Alligator mississippiensis: one gene and its partner. The protein of the gene in region 1 purifies or fractionates together with the protein of each later gene. This does not show direct contact. Links are inferred from orthologs where the notes say so. Each region holds a gene or a part of one and is shown on either strand. Other genes may lie near its edges.

Evidence for each region.
Region 2: the proteins of CAPZB (region 1) and PPP1CA purify together in Homo sapiens (affinity purification with mass spectrometry; 3 studies listed by BioGRID and IntAct, with this or other methods). This does not show direct contact. The link is inferred for Alligator mississippiensis from reciprocal best matches to the Homo sapiens genes CAPZB and PPP1CA.

The regions. Positions count from the first base shown.
Region 1 is NC_081836.1:5,010,876-5,018,826, forward strand, and holds the start of CAPZB (F-actin-capping protein subunit beta), read right to left. Parts: upstream 3,216-7,951; 5' UTR 3,108-3,215; coding exon 3,105-3,107; intron 1-3,104. UniProt on the Homo sapiens protein: F-actin-capping proteins bind in a Ca(2+)-independent manner to the fast growing ends of actin filaments (barbed end) thereby blocking the exchange of subunits at these ends.
Region 2 is NC_081825.1:176,232,878-176,241,048, reverse strand, and holds the start of PPP1CA (serine/threonine-protein phosphatase PP1-alpha catalytic subunit), read left to right. Parts: upstream 1-5,035; 5' UTR 5,036-5,088; coding exon 5,089-5,143; intron 5,144-5,419; coding exon 5,420-5,551; intron 5,552-6,116; coding exon 6,117-6,347; intron 6,348-6,902; coding exon 6,903-7,007; intron 7,008-7,230; coding exon 7,231-7,454; intron 7,455-7,685; coding exon 7,686-7,820; intron 7,821-8,171. Other genes in the region: TBC1D10C (carabin), read right to left, coding at 1,956-2,152. UniProt on the Homo sapiens protein: Protein phosphatase that associates with over 200 regulatory proteins to form highly specific holoenzymes which dephosphorylate hundreds of biological targets.

The DNA of each region.
Region 1 (7,951 bases):
GTAAGTACTCAGAACGGCACACCAAAACTATATCTCGTGGTATCAGCATCATTCCAAGCATCACAGCTGTGCTTCAGTGCTTCTTAGCTGCTGCAACACATTCTAACAATTTTTTTTGCAAATGACCAAAAGCCGTAACAAATTAAATGGAGCTGCCACCCACTATACAATTTTACCTTTGTTTGATGTTAACATCTTGCTCAGATTTTGTTTACTCTTTGCACACACAAGAAAAACGAGATGTTTGCGAGTACTACCAGGACAGTTTATCGAGCACCTTGCATATACTCCCTAGTTTACACAGTCTGAAAAGGAAGCTTTTCATTATAGAAGCAATGACTGGGTTGTACCCACTGGAGGACATACACAGCTGGAATACTCCCTAACTCTACACACCCTGAAGTATACTTATGGCATCCCTCAGGGCAAAACACTATTTTTAAAACCAAGAGAGACGAGGCAGGTCTAAGCACCATGTTTGATACTGGTCATCCAACAGCTGGCTGGACTATGGCATCCGAAATGGCTAGGCACCCCAAGAACTATGAGTCTAAACCCAGCAGGATCAACTGGGACTTTCAACTTTCCAGAGCAGCTAGAACAAGTGTTCTGTGATCTTTTCCAAGAGGGACCTGGGGCAGAGCACAAGGGGGAGGGAGAGGAATGTGTTTAGATTTAAAACTAGTATCTCTCACTGAACTTAAAATGGCACTTAGGAACAGATCCGTCTTATCCTATGCACATCTACTAAATCCAGCTGATCCAAAATGTACCGAGTCAGCCAAAATGATGCATCACGCAACAACACGGCTGCAAATGTGTTCATGTTTCAAGTCCTCTCAAAAAGCAGGGACTAGTACAGAATTTTGAAAAGGTTCTCTTGTCCCAAGCATGAAGGACACGTGCCTGGTGATCTCCACTGTTATTAAATATTTAGCATGGCTGACCATTGCTTTTTGGGGTATAACTGAAGGCATCAATCAAATTCAAAGTGGCTGGAGACATGCCTTTCCCCAAATGCAATACTCCCAGTTATAATGTGCAGAGGTATTCAAGCTGGACTCTTCTTTTAAGAGGCAAAAATTCTACTGAGAAAATGTTCTCTCACCCCCCGGAGAAAGATAAGCTTTAATATTTACGGTACTCAACAAAACCTACTCATTCTCATGAGTTTTTGCTGTGGGCCTGGACCATGACAGAAGTGAGGATGACACCTGTAACTGCAACAAGATATAGGTTAGATATTAAAAAACTTCTACCTATTCAGTGCTGGAACAAATTACCCAACAGTTGCAGAACCTGTCACTAGAATCTCCTAAATGAAGGCTAGACAAACATCTGACTGTGATCGTTTAGAAAGGAATAACCCAGCCTTGAACAGAGGCTTGGATTAGATGATCTCGAGGGCCTTTCCATCCCCATCTTTCTATGATTCCATTGATATTCCAAATGTTTAACTCCAAGTATGTGAATGAGACCCTGAACCTAGTGCTCTGAAAAGACCTATTTTATGCACAAATTGAAATAATGTCTCTGTTTATTTCCCCTGCCCCTTGTTTAAGCTGGAGACACTGACTCCCATTATGTGCTTGTACAGTATTTGGTAACAAAAGAGTCTCCATCTTGGTTAAGGCCTCTAGGCCTTGTGATGACAATATATTCAATATCATTGTGTGTAAAACAAGTGCAAGCTCCTCATTACCCGCTGTTTTGAGGGAAAAATGAAATAACTGCCTCAAACTTCTTGAACCTGTCAGTGTGACAAGGACTCAGATGCTCACTGCATAGAAAAGATCTCAAAACAGGCAATATCGTTTTACAGCGTTTTACGACAGCGATCGATAGATCTAGCGATCGACAGATCTTCTAGTCGTGGCCTTTACACATTCAACTGGAAGAATTACACTATAACAGCACCACTTTCGAATCCTAGAAGTTTGTGGATACAGGGAGCTTCACGCAAGGAACGGTGTCAGGTTGCCTTACGTCAGGGGCGGGCAATTATTTCGTGTGGAGGGCCGCTTACTGAGTTTTGACGAGCCATCTAGGGCCGCGTGACAGGCAGCCAGGGGCCAATATATATTAATTTTATAAATTTTTTAGGGGCCCCGCGGGCCAGATGGAATGGCCTGGCAGGCCGCATCCAACCCACGGGCCGTATTTTGCCCACCCCTGCCTTAAGCAGACTCTGCACAGACAGATGGACCTGTACAGACCGACGAGTGTAGCGTAAGACCCTTGGTCAATTACCATTCCTACTCTTGTGCTCATTGCTATCTTAAGCAACAGTCAAATTACTACCCGTTTATTTTAAGAGTCTTTGAAACAGCTTTCAAAGATCGAGGAAATGCACGATTCCATTCACAAAACACCCCTCAGACGTCCTCGCCCGAGCCTGCTCCCATCGTTCCCACGACAGGTTCAACATCAGACGTGCAACAGGCTGCGGAGGTAACAGCGCCCTCGACTTACGTCCACGCCACAGATTCAGCTCGTCCTACGCACATCTACCAAATCCAAAACACACTAGACCAGCCCCATCATGAATGCGCGTCACCGACACGCGTCAACCCAAAGCCACCATTCGGCGTTCGCAAATCGATCGCGGACGCGACGCTGGCAGCCCTTCTCCGCCGCACACGGCACCTACGTAGGACAACCAGGCGCTTAAGCGGCAGGGGTCGGACTAGGCGCGACCTCGGCGGCGGGCCCCTTCCAGCCCTCCTTTGCTACGGTTTTCGGTCACGGGCCGGCGTTTGCTTTTCGGTGACAGCGCAATGAAACACAACGCAGAGGATGGGACGCTCCGGAGACTCGCGTCCAGGTCGCTGAGGCCAAGATGAAGAAACACCTTGGGGGTTTGGTTGGTTGTTCTGGGGTTTTTTCCTCAACCCCTGAAGTCTCTCCGAGAAGTTGTGCTTTGCAAGTAAGCTCCGCCCGCCCTCCCCTCGGCCTGCCCTCAACACCTGCCTCCCTGCGAGCAGCCGGAGCCCGGCCGTGCCCAGCCCCGCGGCTCAGGCCGGCCCTGCAGGCACCTCTCCCCGCAGCCCCCGCCAGGAGGGACCCCGGGAGCGCGGCTCCGGCCCTGCCAGGCCCCCCCTTACCATGATGTCTCCGCGGGGCGGGGCTGGGCGCTGGCGACTCCCGGGGCCGTCCGGTCTGCGTCTGAGCCAGGCCGCGGCCCTTCCACTTCCGCCGTTGCCTAGGAGTGAACATCCGGGTCACAGCCGCCCGGCCCCGGCCCCGGCCCCGCCCCTCGCCGCCACCCGGGCCAATCAGAGCGCGGGCTGCCGGCCATCGCCAAGTATGGAGAGCGGCCCGCGTTCTGGAGGGGAGGGGAAGGAGCGGGGCGCTGGGAGAGACCATTCTCTTCTCTGGAGGGGGGTGGAGATAGAAAGAAGCAGGGTTGAATGGAGGGATGAGCCCAACTGAAAGAACAACCTGAGTCATTAAATGGGTGAAAGGAAATTAAATCAGGGAGAGGAGACACCAAGGGGCTGAGGAAGAAGGGGAAAAGGACAGGGGGAAGCAACCAACTCCAAGGAGGGGGGGAAGAACAGAGCGCCCAATCAGGGAGGGGAACAGGGAAGCCCGGGAGAAACCAATAGGGAGGGGAACGGGGGGACGGGAGAGACCAATAGGGAGGGGACTGGCGGGGGACCGGGAGAGACCAATAGGGAAGAGAACAGGGGGAGACGGGAGAGGCCAATAGGGAGGGACACTGCAACGTTACACGCCCTAGGTTCAGGGTGGTTGGTCCTGGTGCAGCAAGGGGCTCAGGCTCTCTGCAGACTCTAGCAGCCTGTTGTACAGGGATTGTGCGCACTGGGTAGTGCTTTGGGGCAGCAAGGGTGAAAAGCGGGGAAGGGGGAGAGGTCAGTTAGGTTTTTAATTAAAAAATAAAATCAAGTTGGGAAAGTGGAACCCCCCCAGCCTGCACCCGCTGTGACCCCAGCCTCCGCCACTGGGAAGCTCTGGCTTCTGCCACTGAGGACAAAGCAGGAAGTAATGGTAGTAGGAGGCTGTCGCCCTCCTGGGAGGCAGTGGGAAGGGGGATGAGGCGCACGCCCTGCTAGTGGTTCTCGGTGAGGTGCTGATAGCAGGCGGGGGGGTGGGGAGACTCCCACGTCTTGGGTTCATCCGGGCTCTAGTCTGGAGGGAAGAACAGGTCGGCCTGCTCCTGGTACCCTGAATCCTGCCCCTCCCGCCCGTCCCTGTTCTGTCTCGTACTGTCCCTCCTTCCTCCACCCACTGAGCTCTGACTCGTTCTCTTTACTCCTAGCCAGTTCCAGTTTCTACCATCTTTGCCTTCCCGTTTCAGTATGTCTCTTTGTCTAGTCTGTTCTAGTTTCCCATTCCACTGTCCCAGTCCCAGTCTTCCCCCACTCCACTGTCCCAGTCACATTTCACCACTGCTGACTCCTTATCCTAAATCCTGCATTCTGATTCCCCAATTCCCCCCGATGCTCTTTGTCCAGCCAATTCCAGTCACCCTGCCTCCCTCAGAAAGCTTTCTTCTAAGTTAGCCTGGGTGCCAAGGGGGGGAAGGTGAGAGCACGGGAAAGACCATGTCTTTAGCCTCAGACCTGGTATCTGGCTCTAAAGCAGTTTTTAAAGATTCAATTTTAGGGAAAGTCCTGCTTAATCCGTAAATCGCCGGGATGTAGTATGCTCAGCTTCATAGGCATGTAGGAGCTAAAACAAAATAAAACTTTTTCAGAGCAGATGAAACATTCATGGAATTTAGCTGCCAGACTCTAGCAAACCTTTCCCGAAAAGGTGTGAGCTGAGCTTTTTTTTTTTCAAAGTTTATAACTCGGATAAAAATTCATGTGTTTTCTTTTTTCACCCCAGGAACATCAAGAGGCATATCCCTGACACCTGATGACCACACCACGTGCTAAACTGTAAGCCTCTGCTTCAAAGCATTAAGGTACTACAGCTTCTCAATTAAACAATTGTATGAATGATTTTTACATGAGCAGAGCACAAGAGGTCCGTTTAATCTCATTCTGGGGAATATCTGAAAGTATTTAACAAAACCTTTCCAAAAAAAATCAGCCTGACGCAAACACCTAGCATAGAAAATTCCAGTGCAAGCCACTAGCATTTTGGCAAAGTGATGGGAACTGGATCTTACAATAGGAAGTGTTGGGTAATTTGAAGAATAAATGTCACTGTCTGTGCTGCCTATAATATATATTAATTATGCTTAGATTCTGGAGCACAAGTTATAGCTCCTAGCTACGTAGAGGGAACATTAATTCATTCCATAGGCAACCCATCATTCTTATGAAGAAATAGAAGCCTTAATTCAGCAAAGCATGCAAGTACCTGATTAAAGTTAGGCGGGTCTTTGGTGCATTACAGTGCTTGTAATATGGGGACCCAAATGCAAGAAGATGAAAATCAGGAAGTCTCAAGGTCTGTGTGAGTAAAGTACATCACCACTCCACTCCACCCTGCTTCCAGCAAAATAACAATTAATTAACTGTTTCAGGTGATTTATTAAATCCTGTTATTTGAGCCAAAACTGATCCTGAATCTGGCCTCTGTGTGCTGGTATTTGTGAATCACTGCTGACACATGGTTTTGACTTTATGCCCAGATGTAACTCAACTAAAGTCCGTAGAGTTACCCCCAGGGGAGAATCCACTCCATTATGGGGCAACATTTTCCTCTATAGTTCTCTTGGAACAATTGTTTGGCCCATGTTTCAAAAGGGCTTGAGTGCCAGGTTTGTGAGGACCCTCTGCTGGTGCTTTTTGGCATCTGAATTGCAGGCTTGTCCCTAACATGAGCCAAAAACCCTCTTGTTGTTCCTTTATTTTTCTTAGCCTGGAAGCATGCTCTATGGAAACTGGAAATCCTGACAAGAGGAGTCACAAAATGCTTCCTTGTCTGATGTAATGTCGTGGGAGCTGGCATGAGCGTCTCTGATAATGGTGTGGGCAACACTTGCACGAAGATTGTAACAGAAACTGTGTATTTTCGGATGAATGGCTTCTATTTTTCCATGTAATATTATGTGCATATGTCCTTCTGGCAGGAAATGACCAGGGGGTAGCTCTGATTTTACCCTAATATGTTATCACAGTTGTTCATGACTTGAATCTAAATGCTATTAAATATTAGCTCCCATTTAGAACTTTACCAAAAGGACGCAGCTCTGCCAGTGCCCATTTTTAGTGAATTTAACAAACAGTATGCACTAAACAGCTACAGATTTCCATTTTGAAAATGACAGCACTGGATTCCCTGAGCCACAGTCTATACCGGTGTAAATCAGCAGAGCTGCACTGAAGCCAGTAGCGCTATGTCACTTTGCATAATAATTTGACCTCCTCATTCTTGCCTCAAAACACTCATATGAGGTAGGCAAAGATTATTAGGCTTTTAATTTAGCAGATCTGCTGTACAGCTTCTCTCTGCTCTCAGGCTCTTATTGCGCCTCTGTGGTCAGCAAAGGAACATACAGCAAGAGAGAGAGAAACTGCAGCCGGGTGTATTTTAAACAATTTCCAAAATCCAAACGAATGTTGAGGCCAAGAGGATGTTTTCCTTAGTGGCAGAAATACAAGCATCCTGGATTCTGTTTTCCTGCTAATAGGTATAAAGACGAATAAACAGCTGCTTTCTGTTTTCCCAAAAATATTTGCATTAAGATGATCTGCAAATTCCTGCTCAGATTGATGGAACATCTCTTCAAATGAGGACCAGCTGCTTGCTCTGTTTGTTTATGGCAGGACATGCTTAAGAGACCTTTTTTTTTTTTTGTTTGTTTATCAAAATGTGGGACCAGACTCTTTCTGGTGGGCTGTAATCGCAGTGTGGGTGATGTCTGAATAAGGGGCGAGTCTGTGCATGTAACTGTGGTTGCAGCCATCCCACCTTCTGCTGTGATTTTCTGCGATTGTCAGCTAACCGAAGTTGGACTAGGGCTATTCGTGAACGGGAGGCTTCCAAGAAATGCCAAAACAGAGCAAGAGGAAGTGACATCGTTGTTACTGAACTGTTCCAAGTGGTATACTATCTAAAGGTATTGCCTTTAGTATGAGAGATTTAAAAAGGCTTTCTAATTTGGTACCCTTAAAAAGCGCACAGTATTAATTTCCAAGAATATATATGATGTTAACTGCAAGGTGCTGGGGTAATAATACAAAACTGAGCAGTGGCATGCTCTTGGCTTAAGTTCCCTTTGTAGTTTGCAGTTGGATACAGGATTTTTGCCTTCCATTCCACGTTGCACAGAAACTACTTTGCAACAATATTAAACAGTTGTGTTCCTCCCTAGAGCTGGTTGCACTTCATGGCTGAAGAAGCAACCCTTGTGCATCCTGTTGTCCCTATATTGTTTTTCAAATTGCCTATAAAATACCACAGGGATTTATGATTTTGTGGAACCAATAATATTAATAAATCAACATATAACGGTTTTTAAAGGGCACAGATTAAAGGCACAATATGAGGAATAACAGTAGCATCACCTTTGCCAATGACTGGCTTTCTCTCAACGGAAGTGATTTGCTGCTGTTCTTGAAAGCAGACTGAGATGAGTTTATGCAGTTCTCTTGTAGTAGCTACATGAATATAAAGGTCACAGAGACGCAGCTGGAGCAGAGAGAAGAGGAAACTGGAAATCCTCTGAGTCTCTGGTCAAGGAAATTCCTGGGACTGACACGGTGCTGTACCAAAGAGTGAAACCTGAAGAAAACAAAGGAAAGCACAGGATGAAATCCAGGATTAAACATTACCCAGGAGAAGAAACTTCAGGGTAGGGTCGCCTGCAAAGGATGCCTCGCAACCGGCAGTTGAAGAGGCAGTCTCTCTGGCAACCAGAAGGCAGGATGAGGAAATGAAGGAGACAGAAGGCAATATGGATAAACACTATTAGCAGCGGGAGTTTGTGAGAGCACAGAGAGCTTATAGATAGGGACCAGGTTCTGGGCTG
Region 2 (8,171 bases), on another chromosome or scaffold:
CGCCAAGTGAGGGCCATGCAAGTGTTGACCAGGAGCACTCTCTGAGTAAGGGATAATAAGCACTGAGGGCAGGGAGTACTTAAGTAAGCGATGACCACGCATTGATCGGGAGTACTCTTTGAGTAAGGAGCGAGTGAGAATTGAACAGGGAGTACTCGAGTAAGGGACGAAAAAACATTGAATAAGGAGTGCTCAGTGCTCCTCAAGTAAAGAACGGGAAAGGGCTGAGCAAGGAGCACCCCTTTGTAAGAGATGTACAAGCACTGAGCAAGGAGTAGTCCTTGAGTAAGGGAGGAATAACTGACTGCAGAGCAAGAAGTACTTGTGTCAGGGATGAGTATGTGTTGAACAGGGAGTGATGATCACTGAGTCGTGAGTAGCACATGAAGGAGTATCTAATATGGATAAGTAGCTGCTGGATAACGAGCGAGCAGCAAGTCACCATGAGCAAAGACAAAGAGGCGGGTCGGGATTTCCACCTGCAGAGTGCCCCTCTCAGACAGCGAAGGGATTGTCTAGGCAGCATTGGGCCTGCAGGGCTGGGCATGTTTTGCGGGCAGGGATCAGCTGTGGGGACTGCCTTGGACCCTGTGTATGGGCAGCTGGGGAGGAAGGTAATGGGGCTCTGCTCTCTGCACCCCCAGCAACGCTGTCTCCTGCCCTGGGCTCCATTCCCGCCCCAGCAGCTGCCAGCGCAGGGCAGGGAGGGGCGGGAGATGACGCACTGACATCTCTAACCACACACTCAGGTTGCCATGGGGACCAGTGACAGGATGTGGTGAGGCCGCTCACTGCTGAAATAGGAAGTGTTAGCTAACGGGTGTGTGCAGCCCTCAGCACGTAGAGCCTCCTCCTGGGACAGACCTGGTGCTCCTGGCCCTGTTAGCTCATCCCCTGAGACCCACTTGCCTGCCAGAAACCCCCCAAGGGACCCAAACCAGAGAAGACCTCAAGCTGGGTCCAAGCCAAAGGGGGAATTATGGGCAGTGAGATGCCATCATCTGTGGGGCTGGGACAGGGCAGAGTTACGGATCCTGTTTCCCAAGGGCCTGGAGAGCTCTGATTCAGATTGGATGTCTCTATCTTGAGCTCAGCCGTGCAAGCTGGCGGGATGCAGAAGGTGGAAGTTTGGAGAGATCCTACCTAAACATTGCCATCCCAGACAGAGGACACTGAGCCTCCTGCATCCTTGACTGACCTGTTAGCTAGAAAATATAATCCCTCCCCACCCCACCCCCACACACACCTTAACTCGTTTGCAGCATCCTATGTGTTTATATAGCAGACAGAGCTTGGAATTTCACCCCTGGTTAATCACCACTAAAGGGCACGGCACTAACCAGCTGCATCCCTGGTTAGCTGCAGTTACAACAGGCTCATTTGTTGTTAGCATCAGGCTGAAGCAGTTTCCTGGTAGATGCTCTCATAAGCCTCCTCTCAGACAACAAGGAGAATTTCACCCTGACTTCCCCAGGGAGCTTAGCTTTCCCAGATGTGAGCTGAGCCTGTCTAGCTCAGAGCCAGGGTTCTCTGCCTAGGGGGTGAAGCTGGGAGGGCCCCTGGGTCTAGCAAGGCTAAGAGAAAGGGGTTCAGGTACAGCTGATTTGTGGCTATGGGTGGTCTGTGCTGAACCACCAGCACTCAGGTGGGCACAGTGCCCTTCGGTAGGTTTTTGTGCAATGGGGCTGAGCAGGAGCATGCTGGAACTCAGGCTCAGAGCAAGGGATTGCCTTGGTTGGGTTGTGAACCTGGACACCAGGTCCAACAGGCACAACAGTGCCAGGGAGCTAGAGACCATGTACAGAATAGGACCCAGGTGTCCAAGAGAGAAGTCCAAGGCATCCTATCCCACACCTGTAGGGTCTATACTTCTCTCAGTGCACAGCAGGCTGCCTCCCCATTGCCCCAGCACTCCCAGTTGGGAAGGCTACCCCTGCCCCCCACCCCCAACTCACGCATTCTGGGCACTGCCACCCCCGATGAAGCCATAGCGATCAGTCTGGCGGTATGGGGGAACCCCATTGAACTCAGAGTCAGAGCCTAGTGAGCTGGAGTCCTCATGGTGCTCCAGGGCCAAGCTGAAGGCATCCGACAGGTCCTCCAGGGTGCTGTGGCTGGAGGAGTCAGCAGATGACATGGTGCTGGTCGCCATGCCCACGAGAGCACCCTGCAGGAGGGAGAGAGGGCCACAGTGAGTGTGGAGCAGGACAGCCCAGGACCAAGCACCCAAAAGAGACCCTCACATAGGCTCTCACCACAGCCCACCCCACTCTCTCCCCAAAGGAACTATCCACACCCCACCTCCTAAGCCTCCCCCTCGCCCCCCTAGGCCCTGCCCACCTATGCCCCTGCACCTCACCCCTCCAGACCTGCCTGTCCACAGCTCACACCCTCTTCCCTTCCTAGGTCTGTCCATTACAGGGCCTCCTTCCCCTATCACTTTAGTCTTTCTGTTTGGGGTGTTGCAGCCTCTTACCCACAGTGTCTACCCTGGGCGCCATTCCCCATGGGGTCTTCTTGCACAGCATCCCATGCCTTGTGCCCTCTCTGGGTCCGCCCATTTCCCCCAGCACCCCAGCACAGGACCCCATCTATGTGTGTTCAGTGTGTATGGGACATGCTGGGGCTGTCTTGCTGGCCATGCAGCATGTGTCCGACCCCTCACCCATGCAGGCTCCCCCACATCTATTGGCAAGCCCTCATCTCTAAATCTCCCTACACTCAGTGCTTGGGGAGTTTCTCAGAACATCCCCTCGCGTCTGTCCAGACACCCTGTGCTCCAGTCTTCCCCAGGATCCCACTCACCTTCCTTGGCCTCTAACTCGTGCCCTGCGCTGGGCTTGGGGGGCTTTCCTGATGCAGGATGCTGTGTCCGTGTGTCTGTCCCTTGCTGGCACCTCAGCCCCGGCGTGCGCCTTGCAAGCTGATTTCCTTCCCACAAGTCATTTCCTCCTGCACCTGATACTGCTGAGGCGGCAGGCAGTGTGTGTGTGGGGCGCAGGGGCCCATGGGAGAGAGCACGCAGGGAGGGGGCAGGTCCCCTAGAGAGGCAGTGCATGGTGTGGGCAACCGTCCTAGGGGGGGACACATGGCACAGGATGGTGGCAGGCACCCTGGGGAGTGCATGAGGAGGGCAAGGTCCCAGGAGTAAGCAGCCAGTGGGCCTGGGACTCGAGGCAGAGGGCACTCACTCTTTCCTTCCACCTGCTGACTGAGGCAGTACTGGAGTGACTGGGAGCTCCTCCCACAGCTATCACCCCCTACATGGCACTGTGCCAGGGGTGCAAGGCAGACAGCGTCACAGGGGGTTGTATGGTGGTGATGGCCTTAAGATCATGAGCCAGGCATTGACATGGGGTGCTGAGGGTGGTGCTGAGCCCCCATGGCAGTGTTGGATACTAGCAGTGGTGGGCAGTGCCTGCAGTCATTGCCAAGCAGTGGTGTGGGGGTGGGAGCCTCCTGCTGGGCACTGGCACTGTCTGACCCCTAGTGACACTGGGTGGCAGCCCTAGGCATGGGTGGATCTAGGATTTTGAAAAGTAGGGTACAGGTGGTGTGGCACATTGTCACATACAACACAACACTCTTTTTCTCCAACTAAAGGGAAACTAGAAGCTTTACTAATATGCTACGGGGCTAGTATGACAGTATTCAATTTGAGATCCAAGCAAAAGTAAACAGGGTATAACTGCTGGAATGTGCACTGATTTCCTAGATGATAGGAAACTTTTATCTTTAAAAAAGCACAGTAAATTTGACAAAACACAGTCATAGTCAAAAGGTATCTCATCAGTCACAAAGCCATCACAATTCAATCAACCCAAGTCCAGCATTCCTGAGCTTCTTGACAGTGCCTCCAGTACCTCACTGTCAATCACCTGAGGTAGTATGACCACACAGAGGTTAAAGTTTTTTGGCTAGAGCGGAAGAGTCTGCGAGGCTGTGATCCAGAAGAAAGAGGTGACTAGGCCTCTTCTGGATTAAGATCCAATGTAGTCCCTGCACTGGTCTGCTGCCGGGGCCGAGATCACTTTTGAATGGCAGTGTGCAATGGTGGGTGCATACCTGTGCAATGCACTGAGGACAGGACACCTTATGAGAGTCCACTATAGCCTCCCAGTGGGATGATCTTGGCTACACACCTACTTTATAGAAATGGTGGACACCTCCTAAGGGCAAGCGAGACTCGGGGACATCTGAACCCCAAGACCTCTGGGCTTGGGCCTGTACGTAGGATGCCAGCCAATGGATTTGGGGGTATCTGAAGCCTCAGGCTGAAGAGTCTGGGATGGAGGATACAGTGGTAGCGCCACATGGATTTGAATGACTGAGTTCGGCTCAATTGATAGGCTTTGGAACTGATTTGGCAAATTCAACCTGAAATATGAAATTAAAAAAAATTAAAAAGAGAGAGAGAGGCAACCAGGCAGCAACATTGCAGAGCAGTGCTGTAGCAATGAAGTTTGGTGCCCGGGGCAAAGCCCACAGCGGCAGTTTGCCTTTGCCCTGCGCACACATCTGGGGGGCACACGCCTCCCACCCCAATGCTTGCCCGGGAGTGAACGCAGCGGCGAGAGCCATCCTCCCTCCATCCCCCCCAAAATGAGCCACTTGCAGCTCCGTCCCACTCCCCGCCCCGGGTGAGCAGCACCTGTCAGTGCCCCTTCACTTTGGTGCCCAGGGCGGTTGCCCTGCTCACCCCCCGCCCCCCTTGCCCCAGAGGATGGGCTGGGGCGCAGGGTGGCCAGCTGGTTGTCCCCTGCCCTCTCTTGATACGAAACTGGACGCCTTTACGTCCTCTATAGAAAACTCGAGGACATAGAGGCGTCGGGTTTCGTATCAAGAGAGGACAGAAGTGTCCTCTACGGCGGCCACGGGGGAGCCCGGACCACTATGACCCCTGCACTCACACGACCCGCCGGCTGGCTGCAAGGACACCCCCAGGCCGCAGCGGGTGCTGCGCAGCGGGGCGGGGCGCGAGGCCTGGCGGCTCGGGGACCCAGCCCCGCCCCGCCCCGCCCCGCCCGCAGATGGGGCGGGGCGGGGCGGAGGCAGCAGGCGGGGGAGCGCAGGCCGGGCCGGGCAGCCATGGCGGACGGCGAGAAGCTCAACCTCGACTCCATCATCGGCCGCCTGCTGGAAGGTGCCGCGGGGCCCGGCCGGGGAATTGAGGCAGGGCGCGAGGGGCGGCCCCCTTGGGGCTCGCCTGAGCCCGCGGGGCGGGGGGGCACGTGCTGCAGGCGCCGGGATGGGCCTGGGGCGGGCGGCAGGGCTGCGTGTGCACATGCATTCGGGTGGGCGTGGGTGCTCACGCGCGTGGGTGGGTGGGCGCCTGCATGTGTCCGTGCGTGCGGGGGCGGGGAGGCGCTGCCCCCCCCCCCCCCCCGGTGACCCGCCCCCGTGGGCCGCCCCGCTGCAGTGCAGGGCTCTCGGCCGGGCAAGAACGTGCAGCTGACGGAGAACGAGATCCGTGGCCTGTGCCTCAAGTCGCGGGAGATCTTCCTGAGCCAGCCCATCCTGCTGGAGCTCGAGGCGCCGCTCAAGATCTGCGGTGAGCCCCAGGGCCCACCGCCACCCTTGTCCACGCATCTTGTCCCCCAGCCCCAGCCTTAGGGCAGTGGGTTCCCCTGCGGGAGGTTGCAGCGTGTCCTGGCTGGTGTTCGCAGGGATCGGAGCGGTCCCACCTGCACCTTACTCTCCATTGCTCCCCCCAGTCCAGCCCTAAGGGTGGAAGGTCCCCCTGCGAGAGGTCCTGGGGGTCTCTTGCTGAGGTGGGCTGGGTGTGGGGATTGGAGCAGCCCCCCCACCCCCACACACACACTTCTTTGTCCCCTATTGCCACCCTCACCCCATTTGTGGGGGTGGTGGGTTCCCCTGTGGGAGGTCTTGGCAGGTCTTAGGAATCCCTTGTTGATGCTGGCAGGGTAGGGGGGTCAGAGTGGTCCCCTGGCTCCGGCTGCAATCTGGGGGATTAGGGGAGGAGGATGCGGGATCTCTGGGCAGGGCTGGTAGGGACAGCATAGGTTCCCTGCTGGGCTGGGGGTCTCTGGGTAGCTGGTAGGGAGGTTGGAGAAGGTCTGTGTACTGAGGGTGCCATTCCCCCCTGCACTCTCCAGGTGACATCCATGGGCAGTACTACGATCTACTGCGGCTCTTCGAGTACGGGGGCTTCCCACCTGAGAGCAACTACCTCTTCCTGGGTGACTACGTGGACCGGGGCAAGCAGTCATTGGAGACCATCTGCCTTCTGCTGGCCTACAAGATTAAGTACCCTGAGAACTTCTTCCTGCTGCGCGGCAACCACGAGTGCGCCAGCATAAATCGCATCTATGGTTTCTACGACGAATGTGAGTGTGATTTCACCCCCCTCCCCCTGCCCCTATCTACCTGGACGCATGACTGTTCCCATTTGTGTCTGAGCCTGGGCCGTGCTGCGAGTATGCAAGCATCAACTGCATTTGAGTGCTAATGACCCTGGGCCCCCACTATTGCAACCTCTGCCTGCCTCCAGGTGTGAGCATACACCTAACTGCAAATGTGCAAACATCAACCACGCCTGTGCCTCATACTCGCATCCCTGCAGTTGAGGGTATCAGCTGCATCTCTGTCTTGTGCACCAAATTTCTTACCCTACCACACTCCCAGTCACAAGGGTGCACTCCCCAGCTGCAAGCATGTGGGCATGTGCTCTGGGGGCAGCTGATGTGGTAAGTGTGGTGCCTTCCAACTATGAGGGGGCTGCTTGTCCCATCTCCTATGGTGGCCCAAACCATGTGACTCTCTGACCTGGGTCTCCCTAGAAGGGAGTGTGCACCCCGGGAAAGGCAGATACTCTTAGGTGGTGGGAGCAGAAGGGGCTGCTGCTGTGGTGAGGCTCCCATCCCAGATATTGTGCTTTGCAGGCAAGAGGCGCTACAACATCAAGCTCTGGAAGACATTCACTGACTGCTTCAACTGCTTACCCATTGCTGCTATTGTGGACGAGAAGATTTTCTGCTGCCATGGAGGTGGACAGTGCCCAGGCCTCTAGACCTTGTGATCGGGAGGGGGAGAGGGAGTCCTTTCCCTTATGAGGCACTGCTGGGGTGGGGTTTGGGGGGAGAGGCTCCGCAGGGCTGTGTAGGGGTAGAGGGTTGCTGTGGGGGGGTCACTGGGGATGCTCTCCAGCAGATCAGCACCACCCCCTGCTGGGGTATGATGTCTCACAGCCTTATCCCCCTTTCTTCCCAGGGCTGTCCCCTGACCTGCAATCAATGGAGCAGATCCGGCGGATCATGCGCCCCACGGATGTGCCAGACCAGGGCCTGCTGTGTGACTTGCTCTGGTCCGATCCTGACAAGGACGTGCAGGGCTGGGGCGAGAACGACCGTGGCGTCTCCTTCACCTTTGGCGCTGAGGTTGTGGCCAAATTCCTGCACAAACACGATCTGGACCTCATCTGCCGGGCACACCAGGTACCCTGTACCCTGAGATAGAGCCATATTAGGGGAACTCAGGGGTGGGCTAGCAAGGGGTTGCGGGTCAGAAGTGAAGAGCAGAGCTGTGAAGAGAGCCTGTGGTTGGGATGGCAGAGAGCTATAGCGGAGGAGGCAGAGCCAGGGCTCCTGTGTGGGTTCCCTGCATCTGGCAGAGGGAGGGCTAAGTTGAGTCCTGGTGCCAAGCCCTTCGTTGTCCTTCTGCCTTAGGTGGTGGAGGATGGTTATGAGTTCTTTGCCAAGCGCCAGCTGGTGACACTCTTCTCAGCCCCCAACTACTGTGGCGAGTTCGACAATGCAGGTGCCATGATGAGCGTGGATGAGACCCTCATGTGCTCCTTCCAGGTGAGCCTCAGGCCAGGGCTCTTCTTCCCCACCCCTCCCTGGCAACCATGGCAATGAGCCAAGCTCTCACCCTACGGACACAGGCTCAGAGCTGGGTAAGGGTTGAATTTCCCTTCCCCTGACCCTGCAAGCATCTGCCTGTCTCCTGTAGAAAACCTTGATGAGGGAGGAGTTGGGTCTTGGAGTGGGGTTTCAAGAGACTCCCAGGGGCTCTGAACCCTGAATACTAACCCTGCTGCTTGTGATTTGGGGGAGGGCAGTTGTCCCCCCCACCCAGGCTGGAGATGCTGTCCTCTAGCCAGTGCCTCAGTCTGTTCTCGGGGTCTGGGGTACAACAAACTATGCCCTCTC